Arabidopsis thaliana: one gene and its partners. The protein of the gene in region 1 interacts with the protein of each later gene in a pairwise test. Each region holds a gene or a part of one and is shown in the gene's direction. Other genes may lie near its edges.

What was found.
Region 2: the proteins of APA1 (region 1) and ATH1 interact in a two-hybrid assay, tested with the Arabidopsis thaliana proteins (one large-scale study listed by BioGRID).
Region 3: the proteins of APA1 (region 1) and BLH1 interact in a two-hybrid assay, tested with the Arabidopsis thaliana proteins (one large-scale study listed by BioGRID).

Annotation. Positions count from the first base shown.
Region 1 is NC_003070.9:4,016,208-4,022,595, reverse strand, and holds APA1 (aspartic proteinase A1), read left to right. Parts: upstream 1-1,830; 5' UTR 1,831-2,599; coding exon 2,600-2,627; intron 2,628-2,716; coding exon 2,717-3,069; intron 3,070-3,153; coding exon 3,154-3,214; intron 3,215-3,399; coding exon 3,400-3,494; intron 3,495-3,578; coding exon 3,579-3,691; intron 3,692-3,774; coding exon 3,775-3,943; intron 3,944-4,029; coding exon 4,030-4,069; intron 4,070-4,201; coding exon 4,202-4,266; intron 4,267-4,357; coding exon 4,358-4,471; intron 4,472-4,571; coding exon 4,572-4,636; intron 4,637-4,753; coding exon 4,754-4,910; intron 4,911-5,007; coding exon 5,008-5,127; intron 5,128-5,217; coding exon 5,218-5,306; intron 5,307-5,392; coding exon 5,393-5,477; 3' UTR 5,478-5,884; downstream 5,885-6,388. Other genes in the region: AT1G11915 (wall-associated receptor kinase galacturonan-binding protein), read right to left, coding at 1-766; AT1G11905 (B-cell receptor-associated protein 31-like protein), read right to left, coding at 6,374-6,388. UniProt on the Arabidopsis thaliana protein: Involved in the breakdown of propeptides of storage proteins in protein-storage vacuoles. Possesses aspartic protease activity in vitro.
Region 2 is NC_003075.7:15,914,165-15,919,734, reverse strand, and holds ATH1 (homeobox protein ATH1), read left to right. Parts: upstream 1-1,581; 5' UTR 1,582-2,195; exon of another isoform or gene 2,196-2,346; 5' UTR 2,347-2,529; intron 2,530-2,846; 5' UTR 2,847-2,861; coding exon 2,862-3,710; intron 3,711-3,802; coding exon 3,803-4,146; intron 4,147-4,238; coding exon 4,239-4,299; intron 4,300-4,702; coding exon 4,703-4,870; 3' UTR 4,871-5,065; downstream 5,066-5,570. Other genes in the region: AT4G32970 (BRISC/BRCA1-A complex protein), read left to right, coding at 5,435-5,570. UniProt on the Arabidopsis thaliana protein: Transcription factor which may be involved in the signal transduction pathway downstream of the COP1 gene. Controls floral competency as a specific activator of FLC expression. Is responsive of the nuclear import of SHOOT MERISTEMLESS (STM).
Region 3 is NC_003071.7:15,088,257-15,093,986, reverse strand, and holds BLH1 (BEL1-like homeodomain 1), read left to right. Parts: upstream 1-1,571; 5' UTR 1,572-1,760; intron 1,761-1,808; exon of another isoform or gene 1,809-1,871; 5' UTR 1,872-1,920; exon of another isoform or gene 1,921-2,200; 5' UTR 2,201-2,287; coding exon 2,288-3,130; exon of another isoform or gene 3,131-3,447; coding exon 3,448-3,836; intron 3,837-3,920; coding exon 3,921-3,981; intron 3,982-4,066; coding exon 4,067-4,816; 3' UTR 4,817-5,225; downstream 5,226-5,730.

The DNA of each region.
Region 1 (6,388 bases):
GTGTCCTCGTATTAAACCCACAAACTCCACCACCTTTAGTCGTTTCTTGGCAAAGAAGGCACTTCATTGTCACTGGAAATTCGTAATCAACCCTTATCCCGTACTCTGGAAACTGATCATACGGTGCATTCTCCACACCTGTACTCCTCCAATACACACTTGTATACGTCGCACAGTCCTGCAGCATGAGCCTAAGAGATTGAGTCGCTTTAGGGTAATACGAACAACAAGAAACCCTAGATCCCAAAGCAGAGCCACATTCAGGCAAATGTCTGCATAGATAGCTAGAACTATCGCAGGACGAGTCACATCTATCTGGAAACCTTTCGCAGAAGAGCGGTTTTGGTTCGACGATAACTTTATCGGTGTTGCAGTTGAAGAACAAGTAGTCGTTTTGAGGAGAGACAGTGAAGTGTGTACTTGAATCGATGCTAAAAGATCTAGTGGGTCGAAAATTGTCTCGATCTTGACAGTTCCACATGAATGGATCGGAGACAAGAAGGTGAGGATCAGAGTAGCTTATAGATTTAACAGGGTATTTACCAGATGGTGTTCTAAGTTCGAGCTTGGTATCGTTGTCGGAGCAAATGAGCATGTGTCTGTAATAAGGGCTACCACAACCGTCGTCGATGGAAAAAGGGTAATTTATCGGAATGTTGCCGCAAGAAGATCTGCAGAGATTTGATTGGGATGATGTTGTTGATGATTGAAGAAGGATGGTCATGAGAAGGGAGAAGAAGATAATGTAAGAGTGAAGTGGAGACATTGTTCAAAAATTAGGAGTTTAGATTTGATTATTGGGTAGTTTTTAGTTATGAGATTATAATTTGGTGGTGTGAAGTGTTGAGTAAGCTTGGAATGTCTTGTTAAAGAGTTTAAGAATCAATCTTGTCATGTGCTTGTTAATATTGCTTATTTTAGGTTTCGGTTTGTTTTTAAAATTTCACCTTTCTTTTTAGTATAAAGTATTCCAAGAGGACTCGTGGTTTTGTTTCAGATTATTTGAAATATTTACATACAATATGTCAACAAACGTACTATTCTTTTTTCTGATATTTTACAACAAAATTTGTTCTTTAACATGTTATCTAAAAACCATTTAACAAAAAAAATAAAATGTATGAGAACCTTATAAAATACAAAATAGTAATTTCAGTATATAATAGTTTTGAATTTTCTTTTATTTAGAATTTCGTTTAAAGGGTTGTGATTTGTGAAGTAATCTTTGGAAGATAATCTCAATGTAAACAACACATTGGGCTTCTCATAGGCCCAATATAAACAACACATTGATCATTATCCATGTAAGGTGAACTCTTTAATCGAAACCGTTCAATTTCAGTCATCTCAATCCAACGGTTAGTATTCCAAGGAGCACGTAATCCACTCTAAATTCGTAAACACGTGATTTCTCACTAAATATAAAACTTGATACGTTACGCCTTCCTATCCATCCGTCAACGATTAAATCCAATCGTTCAATATAGAGATCCAACGGCTAATAACGAAACATTAGCCCACACGAAATCTCCTTTTTTTTTTTGACGGGATTATACAGTGGGCCTCCACCTGTAATTGTCCATTTAGGAGACAGCGCGGTTAATTTAGCATTATCCCTCCTCACAGTCATCTCTTTCTTCGCAAATAAATGTAACCATCTCTCTTCTCGTTTTCTTCAACAAAAATCCTCATTTCTCTGAGAATCTGGTGCTTTAGCTTTGGTGAGCTCTCTTTCTTATGAAACTTATCGATTCTCTTCTCGTTGATTGTCTTATACTTTTAGTTCTCTGCTTAATTTATTGTCCTTAATACTCGTGGATTTGTTCATAAATCGTTTTCTGAGCAGTTAGGTAAGAGTTTTGTTACCGAATTTCATGTTCTTCGATTTTGAATCTGGATGATTGTATGATGTGATTAGTAGACTCGCTTAGATTTTGTGATCTGTGTATGGTTTGTGGCTAATTTTGGTTTCATCGGTGGTATGAATTTATTTGGGGTTTTAGGTTTGTTTGATTACGTAATCGGACTGTTTACTTGAAGATTTATCGATTATAGTTGTGATCGTTTTTAGTTGATTGAGAAGAAGAAAATAAATTTCATGCTCTTGTTATTGTCGCGATTGTGGCGATTTTCAGTGTCTTATGAATCAATTATGTTGCATGTGAGTCTTGGTGCAATTGAGATTGTTTCCTTTTTTTACTAGATTGCTTGTCTTATTGAACAAAACTTTCCATTTATGTTGAAAAGGTTTATAGGAACGGATGTTTAGGGTTTTGTTGTAATCTGGGTATTTGCTTTCTGATTTCGGCAAGCAAATGTCGATTTCAAGGTTTATATCACTTTCTCTAGCAAAAGAAGTCTTTAGTCATTTGCAAAGTCAAGAGAGTTTTTACTTTATTTATTGCTTCCACGCTATTGCTTCGTGGCTGATTGAGAGAGACCAATTAAACTAATAATTTGTAGTTTGTACAATATATTGCGTGTAACATTGTCCTTCGTTATCTGTTTGAGGAGGAGGACCGAGTTAGCCTATTTTTAGTCACTTTACAAATTTTCTTTTATGTTGCATCATTCAATATGAACTCTCTGATATAAATATATGTATACATACTGGTTGACTTTTATGGGTATGGTTCTCTGCTTTTTTTCTCTGTGATGGTCTCTTGATTCTAACTTTCTTTGTTTTATGTTTTTGGTTTTTGTTGTCAATGAATAGGTAAAATGAAGATATACTCTAGAACGGTTGCTGTTTCACTCATTGTGTCATTCCTCCTGTGTTTCTCTGCCTTTGCTGAGCGCAATGACGGGACCTTCAGAGTTGGACTGAAAAAACTCAAGTTGGATTCGAAAAATCGGCTTGCAGCACGCGTCGAATCCAAGCAAGAAAAGCCCCTGAGAGCTTACAGACTTGGAGATTCTGGAGATGCTGATGTTGTTGTGCTTAAGAATTATCTAGATGCTCAGTACTATGGTGAGATCGCCATTGGTACTCCACCTCAGAAGTTCACTGTGGTTTTTGACACTGGGAGCTCTAACCTCTGGGTGCCATCATCAAAATGCTATTTCTCAGTAAGCAACATTTGGACTATTGTTGTTAGCTGTGGTTGAGATACTTTTGAGTAGAAAACTAATTGTGTTCTATCTCTTTTGCAGCTTGCATGTCTCTTGCATCCCAAATACAAGTCGTCTCGTTCAAGCACATATGAGAAGAATGGTTTGTTCTCTCTCTTAACTTGAAATTTTTTGCAGTTGGATTTCCCAGTTGGTAGATACTTTACAGTTCACTCAATGTAGCCTCTAGAATTCATGTTAATGTGCAGAAAACCATTGTTAAAAGATGCAACATCACTACTGATAGCAGCTGCTAGGTTATAACTAACTTGCTCATCTTTGATGCAGGAAAAGCTGCCGCAATTCATTACGGCACTGGAGCAATTGCTGGTTTTTTTAGTAATGATGCTGTCACAGTTGGCGATTTAGTTGTCAAGGATCAGGTAAACTATATGTCCGACCCTAATCAGTACTCTTACAACATACACATCAATGACCTCCTTCTTAACATTTGTCTATCTCATCAGGAGTTTATCGAGGCAACCAAGGAGCCTGGTATAACATTTGTTGTAGCTAAATTTGATGGTATCCTTGGTCTTGGATTCCAAGAGATCTCTGTTGGAAAAGCTGCTCCTGTTTGGTATGCCTGCACATTCTTCTCTTGTTTGGACTGAGTTACTACATTCCTGTAGTGTTAATGCTAATATGTCTTGTTTTTTACAGGTACAACATGCTCAAGCAAGGCCTTATCAAGGAGCCGGTTTTTTCATTTTGGCTTAACCGTAATGCAGATGAAGAAGAAGGTGGTGAACTTGTATTTGGAGGTGTTGATCCAAATCATTTCAAGGGCAAACATACATATGTTCCTGTGACACAAAAGGGCTACTGGCAGGTTTGTGATACATCACTTCCTTGTCTGGTTTTCTCATAACGTTTTCCAGTGACGATCTAACTCAAGCTATATATATTTTGTTATAGTTTGACATGGGTGATGTTCTTATTGGCGGTGCACCCACTGGTATGTGTAACACTGATTGGCGTTGTTCTTTATAACACATATATATAGCTTTTCCTGACAAATTCAAAAAGGTTTTGCTATTTATGTTTGCTGGTGACAACTGGTTCTAAAGTTTGAGTTACTGTTATACAGGGTTCTGTGAAAGTGGCTGTTCTGCGATAGCAGATTCTGGTACATCTTTGCTTGCCGGTCCAACGGTAAGCAAGAATTAAAATTGCTTATAGCTTTATAGAATTATGGTTTTTTAACTAGTATATGTAGTAATATTTCAATTTTTTCCCTGTGTAGACTATAATCACCATGATAAACCATGCTATTGGAGCAGCTGGAGTTGTTAGCCAGCAGTGCAAGACTGTTGTGGATCAATACGGGCAGACCATTTTGGATTTACTTTTGTCTGAGGTTAGTGTGCTTAATATTGGACTAGCTAATAAAATCTGTGACAAGTCATATGCTGTGCAAATTATTTTGGCTTACCATTCATCCCCCTTGCGCCTTGCAGACCCAACCGAAGAAAATCTGCTCGCAGATTGGTCTGTGTACTTTTGATGGTACCCGTGGTGTCAGGTAAAGTTATAATCTGTAGTCATTGCCATTAAGCTAGGATCTTCATTTTGGAATGCTTGTTTGTTTTTCCGTGTGATCTGCTCATATTTAGTATGATTTTGTTTATAAATTATCTAGTATGGGCATTGAGTCGGTGGTGGACAAGGAAAACGCCAAATTGTCTAATGGTGTTGGAGATGCTGCGTGTTCTGCATGTGAGATGGCTGTTGTGTGGATCCAGAGCCAGTTGAGGCAAAACATGACTCAAGAGCGCATATTGAACTACGTCAACGAGGTAACCAATAAGTTGTCATTTCAAGACTTTTGTGAAACAGTAGTTATTGTTGTCCTGATTACTGATTATAAATCGCTACTGTGGGTTTTCTTAACAGCTATGTGAACGCCTCCCCAGCCCAATGGGAGAGTCTGCAGTTGACTGTGCACAACTGTCAACAATGCCCACTGTTTCACTTACCATTGGAGGCAAAGTATTTGATCTTGCTCCAGAAGAGGTATGATAGTGAACTATTTAAAGACAACATTCATATTATGTAGTGAATATGACCATCTACTAATCTGTTGTACTGGTATGATGTGAGCAGTATGTTCTGAAAGTTGGTGAGGGACCTGTGGCACAGTGCATCAGTGGTTTTATTGCTCTTGACGTTGCTCCACCTCGTGGACCTCTCTGGTAAACCATTGAATCTATTACTCTGTAGCACAATTTCTTCTTGCTTTCTTTTTCTAACCCTAAGAACGGTGGTAAAAATGTAACAGGATCTTGGGAGATGTGTTCATGGGCAAATACCACACCGTATTTGACTTTGGTAACGAACAGGTCGGGTTTGCAGAGGCAGCCTAAACACGATCGGGTTGGTGTCGCGTATGGTTTTAGTATGAACAATCTGCGTCTCAAGTGTTGTTTGTATGTTTTCTGGAGTTGAGGACTTTGAGTCGTAGTAGAAATGGTGGCGCAGTTCCTTTTAAGTTGTTTCCTAACGAAAAAAGGCCTTTGTAGTTTTGAAGGCATTGGCTTTGTAAATACCTTCTAAGTAAGTTCGATGGTGAAAAAACTGAAAACTTTAATAAAGCCTGCCTCTTTTGTTTATGCTTAGTAAGTTGTATCAAATGGTTCGGTAAAAACGGTGTAGCATAAAAAATTTGAAAATGGTCAAGCTCGCTTTATCTTCATTTTCTAACCACATAAATTCCTACGTCAAAAAGTCACGATGATAATAGTTATTTGTCATATATTGAAGAACGTTCCTGCTTGAAACATGCATTTTAAGTTGATAGACTGTTTGAGACCCAATTTTCTAAAACCTTAATAATTCGTCAAGAGCGAGGTAAATTCCCCAACACGAAGCTTGCAGCATCCTTCCTGAATTTCGGAACAAGTATCTATTTTGAACAAGTCTGTGAACTTATGAGAAATTATAATGACAACCCACTTGCAGCGACTGTATACGTATATGGAAGGAAATAAGAACCAATTCGAGAAGTTTTTGTTGCGAAATGAACAAGTTACAACGAGTTACAGTTTCCTATAGCAGAAGAATTGATTAATTTCTACCTTAGCTAAACACTTAAACAAGAAGCAAACCTATACTTGTTTTGTATTCTCTGATCTTTCCCAATCATCTTCCATGTTAACAAGATGCGATAACACCAAACCACAAGCTCCTGATATCAAACTCGAAACATATATATTCAGACGGCAGAATCGCAAAGAAGTTTCAAGTGTTGGAATAAGGTCTCTCAAGTATTCTTTTT
Region 2 (5,570 bases), on another chromosome or scaffold:
AATGAGGGCTTGCTTTCTACATTACTTTTTTAGGGTTAGAATTTTGCTGGTCACTCAACTTGCTAACACACTTTGCTGGTCATTAAGAGTGAGTCCTTGATTTCTATGTAAAGATTAACTTGCTAACACACTTGGTTTTATCAATAAATTTCTTGTTCACAGAAGGAGTATTGCATATGTTTAGGTGGATGGCTATCGATCTTTACGTAAGAGCGATTGACATCTTAAAATTATACGCCGCTCTGAGAATGAATGTGTGTTTTCTGACCCTCAAGTGCTTCAGACACTGAGAATGAATGTGTGTTTTCTGATCCTCAAGTGCTCGACTTCTATATTAATTCGAAAGGAGTTAAGATCAAGTAGATTGTTGAACCTCAGTGAACTAGTTAATGCCCTCTGTGATCATTTATTCCCATTTTGCTTAGTCTGCCTATATATAATTCTAAGTCAATGAACTTGTATAATATTCTAAGCAAGACATCAGTAGCATATAGTATAAGTTGATACACAATAATTAAGCCAAATGACTTGGGAAATTATACGACTTCAGATAAAAAGCGCTCTAGTCTATGGAGTAGATTAAGCATCTGCTGGTGCTGGAGTCGATAGGCTCCATAGCCAACGTACATTTTGTTTCATTTTAGAAAAAGCATTACAAGTTCTTGTTTGGACTATCAGACAACAAAAAAAAGTAACTTTTATAATTCGCCTAGGACCCAAAAGTTATGAGCACGGGTCTAATAGTCTAACATTAATAAGTGTTATTGATTAAGATCGTAGGCATGATTAAAGATGCATTCCAGCTTCAGTTAATAGTCGGTACTATAGTTCCTAGTGTTATTGATACTATTCTGCTTTACTAAATCAAAATTTCAAACTATTAAATAATATAGACTTGTAAGCAAACAATAATAAGGATATGATATCAATAATTATCGATTTCTATTGAAAATAATTTTGTCCTATACGAACAACAATAACTGTTTCACCAAATCAATATCCAATTTTGCTTGGAGTGGCCATGCAAGATACTTGTCCTTGACCCTTTTCTTTGTCTCATACCAGCTTAGAAAGTCATTGTTTAGGCAAGTACCATTAACATTATTTAAAATACAGATCAAGTCACGCTAATACAGATCAAATCAAGTACCATTAGATTTTCTTCTTCTTTTGGTTGTAATAAAGAAGAGCATAATTTCAGATGTTGCAATCTATATAGTCTACGAGTAATAGAGTTCAATTCCATCATCATTAGCCATGATAATAAAGACGTAACACATAACGACACATTGAACTTAAAATAAATAAATAAATAAATAAAAATGATAAGAAAGGAACAATCAAAGAAAAGGCCAAGCAAATTGATTGATATTTTTGTAAAGCTTACGTAAAAAACTTATATGAAAAAAATACGTAAATGGATATAAGATTTGATGGCACAATACAAAGACACGAGTGGTGAGAAAAGAAAGAAGAAAAAGCAAGAACCCAAATGGATCACACATCTCATCAATTCTCCTTAAATGGCTAAAAAAGATCTCACCCTTCTTTACTTTTTTCCCTCTTTCTGATTTGTGATAATTGAAACCAGCACAAGAAGACAACACCATTTTCTTATAACTTTATAAAATTTTATAAATAGAGACACATACATATATATATATATAGAGACATGTAAATAGTAAAATGTAGGGTCTCTTCCCTAATTTAAAGCCTGCAACAGAAATGAGTGCACTTCTCTGTAGTAAACAGTAACACATCGGTCTTCTTCATGTCTTTGGATTTCTTTTTTGGATTTCGATTCTGTTTCAACCATATATTTTCTTTAGATAATTTTACTAGATTCATCTCTTTCTCTATGAACAACATTTTAAATAAATGACATTTTAAGAAAGTGATTATATATAAGATTTTCTTGATTCTGATTTATCTTTTTTTTTGGTCGGAAGATCTTAAAGATATGAAAATGGATTCGTGTCATAAACAGAGGCAGCTCCGTACGTGATTTGGCCCTCCTTCTTTTCAACTTCTTCTTTCTTGAATATTAAAGTTGTATTTTTCCCCTCGATAATACAACTTTTGGTTTGTTTATTTAGTTATAAAATGTTGCTATTTGTTGATCTAGTGCTCTGAATCTTTTAGTGAGGCAGATGATGAAGATTATGAATTTCTTCATGAAATTATTGTAAGAAAAAGTAAGTAATTTTTTTTGTAAGTGTTTGCGTTCATGCAAAAGAGATTAATCAGACCCACTTTTCTCTTTTTCAGTTTTGTTGCATTATTTTGTTCTCTTTAATTTATGAATACTAACTTTATTGTTGATTTCTGCTTTTTGGTTCTCTTTAGGAACATAGAGAAGCTGCGGAATGAAAGTACACTGTTCTTTCACGGAGAAAGAAGATAAATAAGCATTATCTTCTTCTTCAGTTTTTAACACACATTTTGGAAATTTTGATGTAAAAATTCTCTTTGGAACGTTGTGTTGTCTGAAATCTTCCCAAAGGTTCTATCAGAAGAAGAAGGATAAAGGCAAGTTTCAACATTTTTAATGTTCTATGGACATTTGTAGTAATCTAAAGCTTTCTTTTTTACTTATTAGTTCACTGTTTATCACAGATAGCTTTGAGATATTATTGGTCTGTGTATCATTGAGCCTAGTTACGGCTTCATTAACTCATGTTTCGGTTCTTTATATATTTTAATGAAATATTTAATGACATAGTGAGCGATGTTCTCTGTCTCTTGCAGCATTTTACATTTAGTACTATTCTCCAAAGATTTGGTTTCTTAGATTTTCTGAAATCTTTTGTCTAAGTCTTAAATACTTGTCTTCTTTGGTAATGCAGTTTCATAGAAACCCAATGGACAACAACAACAACAACAACACTTTTAGTTCTCTGGATAATGTCATGACTAACCAAAATCCTCTTCTCATGGATTTTATACCTTCAAGAGAAGATTCAACTTCATTCTCAACAATGCTTCCATGGAATACCATCAGATCAGATCCTCTACAAATGGGTGGCTTTGATATTTTCAATTCTATGCTGACTAACAAATACTTATCATCTTCTCCACGGTCTATCGATGTTCAAGATAACCGCAATGTTGAGTTCATGGCTCCTCCTCCTCATCCTCCTCCACTTCATCCTTTGGATCATTTAAGACACTATGATGATTCCTCAAACAACATGTGGGGTTTTGAAGCAAATAGTGAGTTTCAGGCATTTTCAGGTGTAGTTGGTCCAAGTGAACCAATGATGTCTACATTCGGTGAAGAAGATTTCCCGTTTCTAATTTCGAATAAAAGAAACAATGAGCTTTCATTGAGTCTTGCATCAGATGTTTCTGATGAATGCTCGGAGATAAGTCTTTGTGCAGCTACAAGATTAGCCTCAGAGCAAGCTTCTTGCAGCAGCAAAGACATTTCTAATAACGTTGTTACTCAAGGTTTCTCTCAACTTATATTTGGCTCAAAATACCTTCACTCTGTTCAAGAAATACTATCTCATTTCGCCGCATACTCGCTCGATTATTCATCTCGAGGAACCGAGTCAGGAGCTGCTAGTTCAGCCTTTACTTCACGTTTTGAGAATATAACTGAGTTTCTTGATGGTGATTCTAATAACTCGGAGGCGGGTTTCGGATCTACATTTCAAAGGAGAGCATTAGAAGCAAAGAAAACCCATCTCTTGGATCTTCTTCAAATGGTATGTAATATATTCATTCACTTTTTTTGCATAAGTTAAAAAAATGGTTTGATATATATGATGAAGTTTTATGAGTTGATATTTCTCTTCAGGTGGATGATCGATATAGTCATTGCGTAGATGAGATTCATACGGTTATATCAGCGTTCCATGCTGCAACCGAGTTAGATCCACAGTTACACACCCGGTTTGCCCTCCAAACCGTTTCCTTCTTATACAAGAACCTGAGAGAGAGAATCTGCAAGAAGATAATCTCTATGGGATCTGTATTGGAGAGAGGCAAAGACAAGACTCAAGAAACCTCTATGTTCCACCAGCATTGCCTTCTTCAGCAGCTGAAACGAAAGAACCATCAGATTTGGAGACCTCAACGAGGTTTGCCTGAGAAATCTGTTTCGGTTCTACGGAATTGGATGTTCCAAAACTTCCTTCACCCGTAACAATCCTTACTCTTCTTAACTATCTACTTTATGATGATGACATTGTTAACTCGATTTTATAAGCAAAGTTATGTTTTATTTAATGCAGTTACCCGAAAGATTCGGAGAAACATCTTCTAGCTATACGAAGTGGCTTGACAAGAAGTCAGGTAATGTCTCATGTTTGTTTTCTTATGCAATGACTCATTGATAACAAGCTTTGTTTTCTTATGCAATGACTCATTGATAAGATCTTTGTTTTCTTATGCAATGACTTATTGATAACATCTTTGCTCACAATGATAGCAAATATGGTATTCAAATGAGTAATATATATCTTGACATACTAGTCATGTCTGAAAAACCGGTATTGGTTATTTTAAGATGAGATTAGGGCTAGGAAAAAATCAAGCTTTTCTCTTGAACTACAAATGAGACTAGATTATGTATTCTTGAATTCACAATAATGTTACTCAAGTCCTAGGATTGTAGTCGCACATATGTTTTGTTACTGAAGTAAGTTAAAGCGGGCAAATGATATAGAGTGTGTCTCTTTGTTGTGTGTGATTAAAGGTATCAAACTGGTTTATAAATGCGCGGGTTAGGCTATGGAAGCCGATGATAGAAGAGATGTATGCGGAAATGAACAAGAGGAAGCTCAATAACAGTCACATTCAACCCAACGGACCAACTCTTCGAATGCCAAAATCTGTTATGATGAGCCAAGCAATGCATAAATAAGACAACAATTGTGTTTACCAACTTTGTGATAATTAGGCAATTGCTACTCTATGATTGCCCAAAACCTAAACCATGTACGACTATCATTACGTATGTTATAATTGTATATACAACTCCTTTATCTTTGACTATTTCATTTTATTATCCTGTATTCTTATATCATAATTATCATCATCCTCATTAAACTTCATGATCACCATTTTTACGTAAAAATAAAATTAAGTTCATGAAAATATATAAAAAGTATGTAACCACTGAAGATTTATTTTCATATTTATTCAAACAAACTACAAAATACAAACCTAAAGTTTTATTTCACCGTTTGCATTTAACTTTTTTTCTCTTACAAGTGAGTTTTATTATTCCAAAAACTGAAATGAATAATGACGAAAATCTCCTAGCAAGCGACGTCGTATTTTGGTTTGACTTGAGAATCTTCGGTCAACTAATAAAAACGCAGCGTTTTCATCTGGTACGGACACAATTAGAAATAGAAAGTAGGAAAAGGAAGACACTTTGCTAAAACTGAGGAAGAAAGTGTAAAGACGGAGCCTTTTACGGCGAATGGAGGAAGACAGAGCCACCATGACCGGAGCTGTAGCCACTCGAGACTCGGTGGAACCCAGCGAAGACATACTCATATGCGTCGATGTTGATGCGGAATCGACGGTGGAGATGAAGACCACTGGAACTAACGGTA
Region 3 (5,730 bases), on another chromosome or scaffold:
AATAATTTAGATTTTTGTGTGATTAAATATTTTAGGTTTCTGCAGAAGGAGACGTTTCCTCGTTTTTGTGCTGTTTGGATCTTCTGACACAATTCACTTTTCCGTATAAGTTTTCAATTTCTCTAATCCCATTATGTATATTTAAAATATTATACTCTTAACCTATTTGAGTGTTTGGAAGAAAAATATAAACTAACGGTAGGACTTTCAAAAATGAAATCTATTCATTTTCTAGAATAAAGTGTTGATGCGTTTTAAGTTTTTATGTGTATGTGGTAATATAAAACTTTGTAAATAAAGTATCTTAGTTAATCTGCTGAGGAAAATAATGAAATGAAATTAAAGAAAAAAACAGTTGAAAAAAGAAAAAATGAAAAGAACTTGGTAACGTAAACATTACTAATTTTATTACTTATAAATCATAATCAGTTCAAAGTTCGTTGCCATCCTCAGTGTACACTCTGAACTTGCTAGATGATAAAAGTCTGCAAGAATAGTAATCCGAAGAATACTTTATGTTCAGGATTGTAGTTATATCAATAAAGAAAGATTTGGATTGAGATGCGTGTGGGATTTCTTTTTATTAAATAAATACAAATATAATGTTTTAAAAGAAAATGATATGATTCTAAATTGGACACGACATACATATCACTATGTCTTGATGTGATAACATTTACTTCATCTATGAAATTATATCGTCTATAAATAACTAAATAAAGGGTGTTTGGTTGTTATGATATGTGGGTTCATTACCTGGTCAATACATGAAAAGGCCAAAGTCATATCATACAAGTTCCTCTGTTTTTCAAGTATACCAATTCTAAATTTATAATAAGATACGTATCACATATATATTACCAAATAATGTATACATATGTCTATGAAGTTGAAATATTTCGAATTTAATATTATCTCTTGTACTGGATGTCAAACTAGAATTTCAACAACAAACAATTATATGCACATTTTCTCACTTAGTTTTATGAATTTTAGCTCCCTATGATATATATGTACTTTGTAACTTATTTATCACCATGCTATATAGTGATAATAACATGAAGTAAAGGTTTTTTGAACATGCAGTATGAAAGAATGCTATGTCTTTTTCTTAATTTATTCATTAATCTTTTTCTATTTAAAAAAACTGTTGAACCAATTGCTCTAGAGTACACTAATTTAAATGATTACATAAAGCTATATCTAAGTGTAGAGTTTAATATCAATTTTGAAAACAAATTCCAACATGGTTGGAATGTCTATTTAGCATATTAAATTAAAAAGATAAGTAATATTAGCTGGTGGTGAACGTAAACACACACACACACACAAATTGTTTTGCGGATACAAGTATATATCAATATATGAATGTAAAATTAAGTTACATTAGTGAATATTTCATGTCCTAAACATTGGTTATTGTCCCATTTAACAAAAAATCCACTTTGGTTATAAGATATACCGACCACAACACTAAAATAAAATAAAATAGAAAGAAAGTGATGAAAAATGGTGGCGTACTAAGGACTGTGGGAAGATTAATGAGTGAAGGAAAAGATGGGTATCTTTTATCTCTCCTTTCTTTATCCTCTCTCTCTTTCAATATATATTAGTCATTTTTATTTTGTTATATATTATTTCTCAGCTTTTTAAATGTATTTTATATTTCCCCTTTGAGCAAGAAAAGAGTTGCAGAGATCTTTGAGTCTGACACAGAGACCAAACTCACATAGCAATCACACACATCTCCACAAACACAGGTATGCATATAAATATATATATATAAGTGTATATTCGTGTGTATGTGTGTGTGTCTGTCTCTCTCTCTTTCTCTTTGATAGAAATTCTCTAATGTAACTTTCCTTTTGCAGCTTGAGATGATCATGAAACACGTGCATCCTCAGATCTCTATCAATCCAGGTTCTTCATCTTTTATAATATTCATTTTTTCTTTCAATTTCTAACTCTATTATTTTATTATTTTATTTTCAATCATGATTATGTCTTAATTTCCATATCCTTCAATCTCTCTTTCTCATAATCCATAATTCATCCCTTCTTCTTCGTCTTCTTGATGTGATCACGATTCTTTTTTTCTTCGCTTCAACTGTATATATATACAGATCTATATTAAACTTATAGTGGTTTTGTTTTTGCTCCTTTTTCATACTTTTGTTTGTTTTTCTATGATATCAATCAGCTTGGTGAAAGAAGGTCAAGAATTGAAAGAGAATCAAAGAAAACGACGTCGTTTCATTCGTGTGTAACAACTACTAATTATACATAGATGGCTGCTTACTTTCACGGAAACCCACCGGAGATCTCTGCCGGATCCGACGGTGGTCTTCAAACGTTGATCCTCATGAATCCAACTACTTACGTTCAGTACACCCAACAAGACAACGACTCGAACAACAACAACAACAGCAACAATAGCAACAACAACAACACAAACACAAACACAAACAACAACAACAGTAGTTTCGTTTTCCTCGATTCCCACGCGCCGCAGCCAAACGCGAGCCAGCAGTTCGTCGGAATACCACTCTCAGGTCACGAAGCTGCTTCCATTACAGCCGCCGACAACATCTCCGTACTTCACGGTTATCCTCCGCGCGTGCAGTACAGTCTCTACGGTAGCCACCAAGTGGATCCCACTCACCAGCAAGCCGCGTGTGAGACGCCACGCGCGCAGCAAGGCCTCTCTTTAACCCTCTCGTCTCAACAGCAGCAGCAACAGCAACATCATCAACAACACCAGCCTATTCACGTCGGATTCGGGTCCGGACATGGAGAAGATATCCGGGTCGGGTCTGGCTCTACAGGATCGGGGGTAACAAACGGTATAGCTAATCTTGTTAGCTCCAAGTACTTGAAGGCAGCACAAGAGCTTCTTGACGAAGTAGTCAACGCTGATTCCGATGACATGAACGCTAAATCCCAACTATTCTCATCGAAAAAGGGTAGTTGCGGAAATGATAAACCTGTCGGAGAATCATCGGCCGGCGCTGGAGGAGAAGGTTCCGGTGGCGGAGCAGAAGCAGCCGGGAAACGTCCGGTGGAGCTAGGCACGGCAGAGAGACAAGAAATACAGATGAAGAAAGCAAAACTTAGTAACATGCTTCATGAGGTAACAACAATACGTATTATATACAATAAGCCTACATATACTGAGTGCTCTCTTATATCACACATGAAGTGGACTTAAAAGTTCTGTCCCTAAGATTTTCAGTCATTTTCACAATTCATTTTATATGTATATTAAGCTATCCTTTTTTTTTTTTGCTCTTCCGATTTCTCAAATTGACAACTTACAAGATTGATGAAATCTTTTTTTTTTTGTCCCTCTCTTAGTAAAGACTAACAACTTTTATAGATTATATTTATGTAGACCGTACACTTATGTTCATAAGACTCACGTTACTTTGTTGGTTGAAAAATGAAAAGGTGGAGCAGAGATATAGACAGTACCACCAGCAGATGCAGATGGTGATCTCTTCGTTCGAGCAAGCGGCAGGGATAGGATCAGCGAAGTCATACACGTCGCTAGCATTGAAAACCATATCAAGACAGTTCCGTTGCTTGAAAGAGGCGATCGCTGGTCAGATAAAAGCGGCCAACAAGAGTCTTGGGGAGGAAGATTCAGTGTCTGGTGTTGGGAGGTTTGAGGGGTCGAGGCTCAAGTTCGTGGACCACCACTTGAGACAGCAAAGAGCTCTTCAACAACTGGGAATGATTCAACATCCTTCCAATAATGCTTGGAGACCTCAACGTGGTCTCCCAGAACGAGCCGTCTCAGTTCTCCGTGCTTGGCTCTTCGAACACTTTCTTCATCCGTAAGTAACCCACTATACACACATGCACTACTTTTCATCACTGGAACACAAACTCAGTCTCTAAGTTGTCTTTCTTTTAATTAGATACCCTAAGGATTCGGACAAGCACATGCTAGCTAAGCAAACAGGACTCACTCGTAGCCAGGTACGTTTCAAAATGATTCTTTCTTGTGTTATTAGGTTACTTAAGAAAGCGTTTTTAAGTAAATTTATTTTCTTTAATTATTTAGGTGTCGAACTGGTTTATAAACGCGAGAGTTCGGTTATGGAAACCAATGGTGGAGGAGATGTACATGGAGGAAATGAAGGAGCAGGCAAAGAACATGGGATCCATGGAAAAGACTCCTTTGGATCAAAGCAACGAAGATTCTGCTTCAAAGTCAACAAGTAACCAAGAAAAGAGCCCAATGGCGGACACTAATTACCATATGAATCCCAATCACAACGGTGACCTAGAAGGCGTCACTGGAATGCAAGGAAGCCCCAAGAGACTAAGAACCAGCGACGAGACAATGATGCAGCCAATAAATGCGGATTTCAGCTCCAACGAGAAGCTCACGATGAAGATTCTAGAAGAACGGCAAGGGATAAGATCAGATGGTGGCTACCCTTTCATGGGTAATTTCGGGCAATACCAAATGGATGAGATGTCAAGATTTGATGTAGTCTCAGACCAGGAGCTCATGGCGCAAAGGTACTCAGGAAACAACAATGGCGTGTCCCTCACGTTAGGTTTACCTCATTGTGATAGCTTGTCGTCCACGCACCATCAGGGTTTCATGCAGACCCACCATGGGATTCCTATAGGGAGAAGAGTGAAAATAGGAGAAACAGAGGAATATGGACCCGCCACCATCAATGGTGGTAGCTCGACCACAACCGCACATTCATCAGCGGCAGCTGCCGCGGCTTACAATGGGATGAACATACAGAACCAGAAGAGATATGTGGCTCAGTTATTGCCCGACTTCGTTGCATAAACCCATCTCTCTAGAAGGAGAAACCGAAACAGGTTATTATATACGTTTCTAGTTTTTAATTAGTATATAGTTTCTCATACCATTGAACCAAAACAAAGAACAAAATTTAATTTTAGTCTTTGGTTATATATGGCCGACGGTTGTATATCGATTTTGTAATTTTTTTTTTTCGTTTCTATTGGGGGATGGATAGGGTTATATATGTATATGGATTAGTTACGTGTAATAGCTTGCATTGGGTGTATACCAAAATATATTTTTACTTTTATTACAATGTAATAATTAATAAGATAGTGAACTGATCTATCAAATATGGAATGATGATTACAGATTAGATCTAAGCTGTATAGATTCCGAATATGACATGTATGCTTAAGCGGCTGGAAACTTATAATATTTTTTGAGGAGTGTTTATGTGTTAAAAGCATATTAAATAAAATTCTACACATTCACAATACAAATATAAAAAAAAACAAAGAAAGCAATCTCTGAAATAAGATCTTACGAACTGTTGAATTGAATTCAGATTTCAAACTTTGTGTATAGTTTTTTTTTTTAAATCAATTAAGATTAACGTTTATAAAACTTGTTATAAATTTTCTTTTCAAGATATATAAAAATGAAAATGTTCAAATCATTTTGTAGAATAGCGTCACCTGCTGAGAGATAAACTTACAATAACAGTAACAATTTTTTTTTTCTGTTATTAAAGACATTGACAGAATATTTATATGAAGACTGCGTGAGAGTGTGAGACTAATTTCGGAGAGGTTTGTAAGAAAAAAGTTTACAAAAACATATGCGAATATTTAATATATATTTTACTCATTTTCGGCCCATAACTTTTTTTGGGCCCAAATACCTTTCTATAGATATTAATAAATAATGAAATTTAGTGAAACACATGAAATATG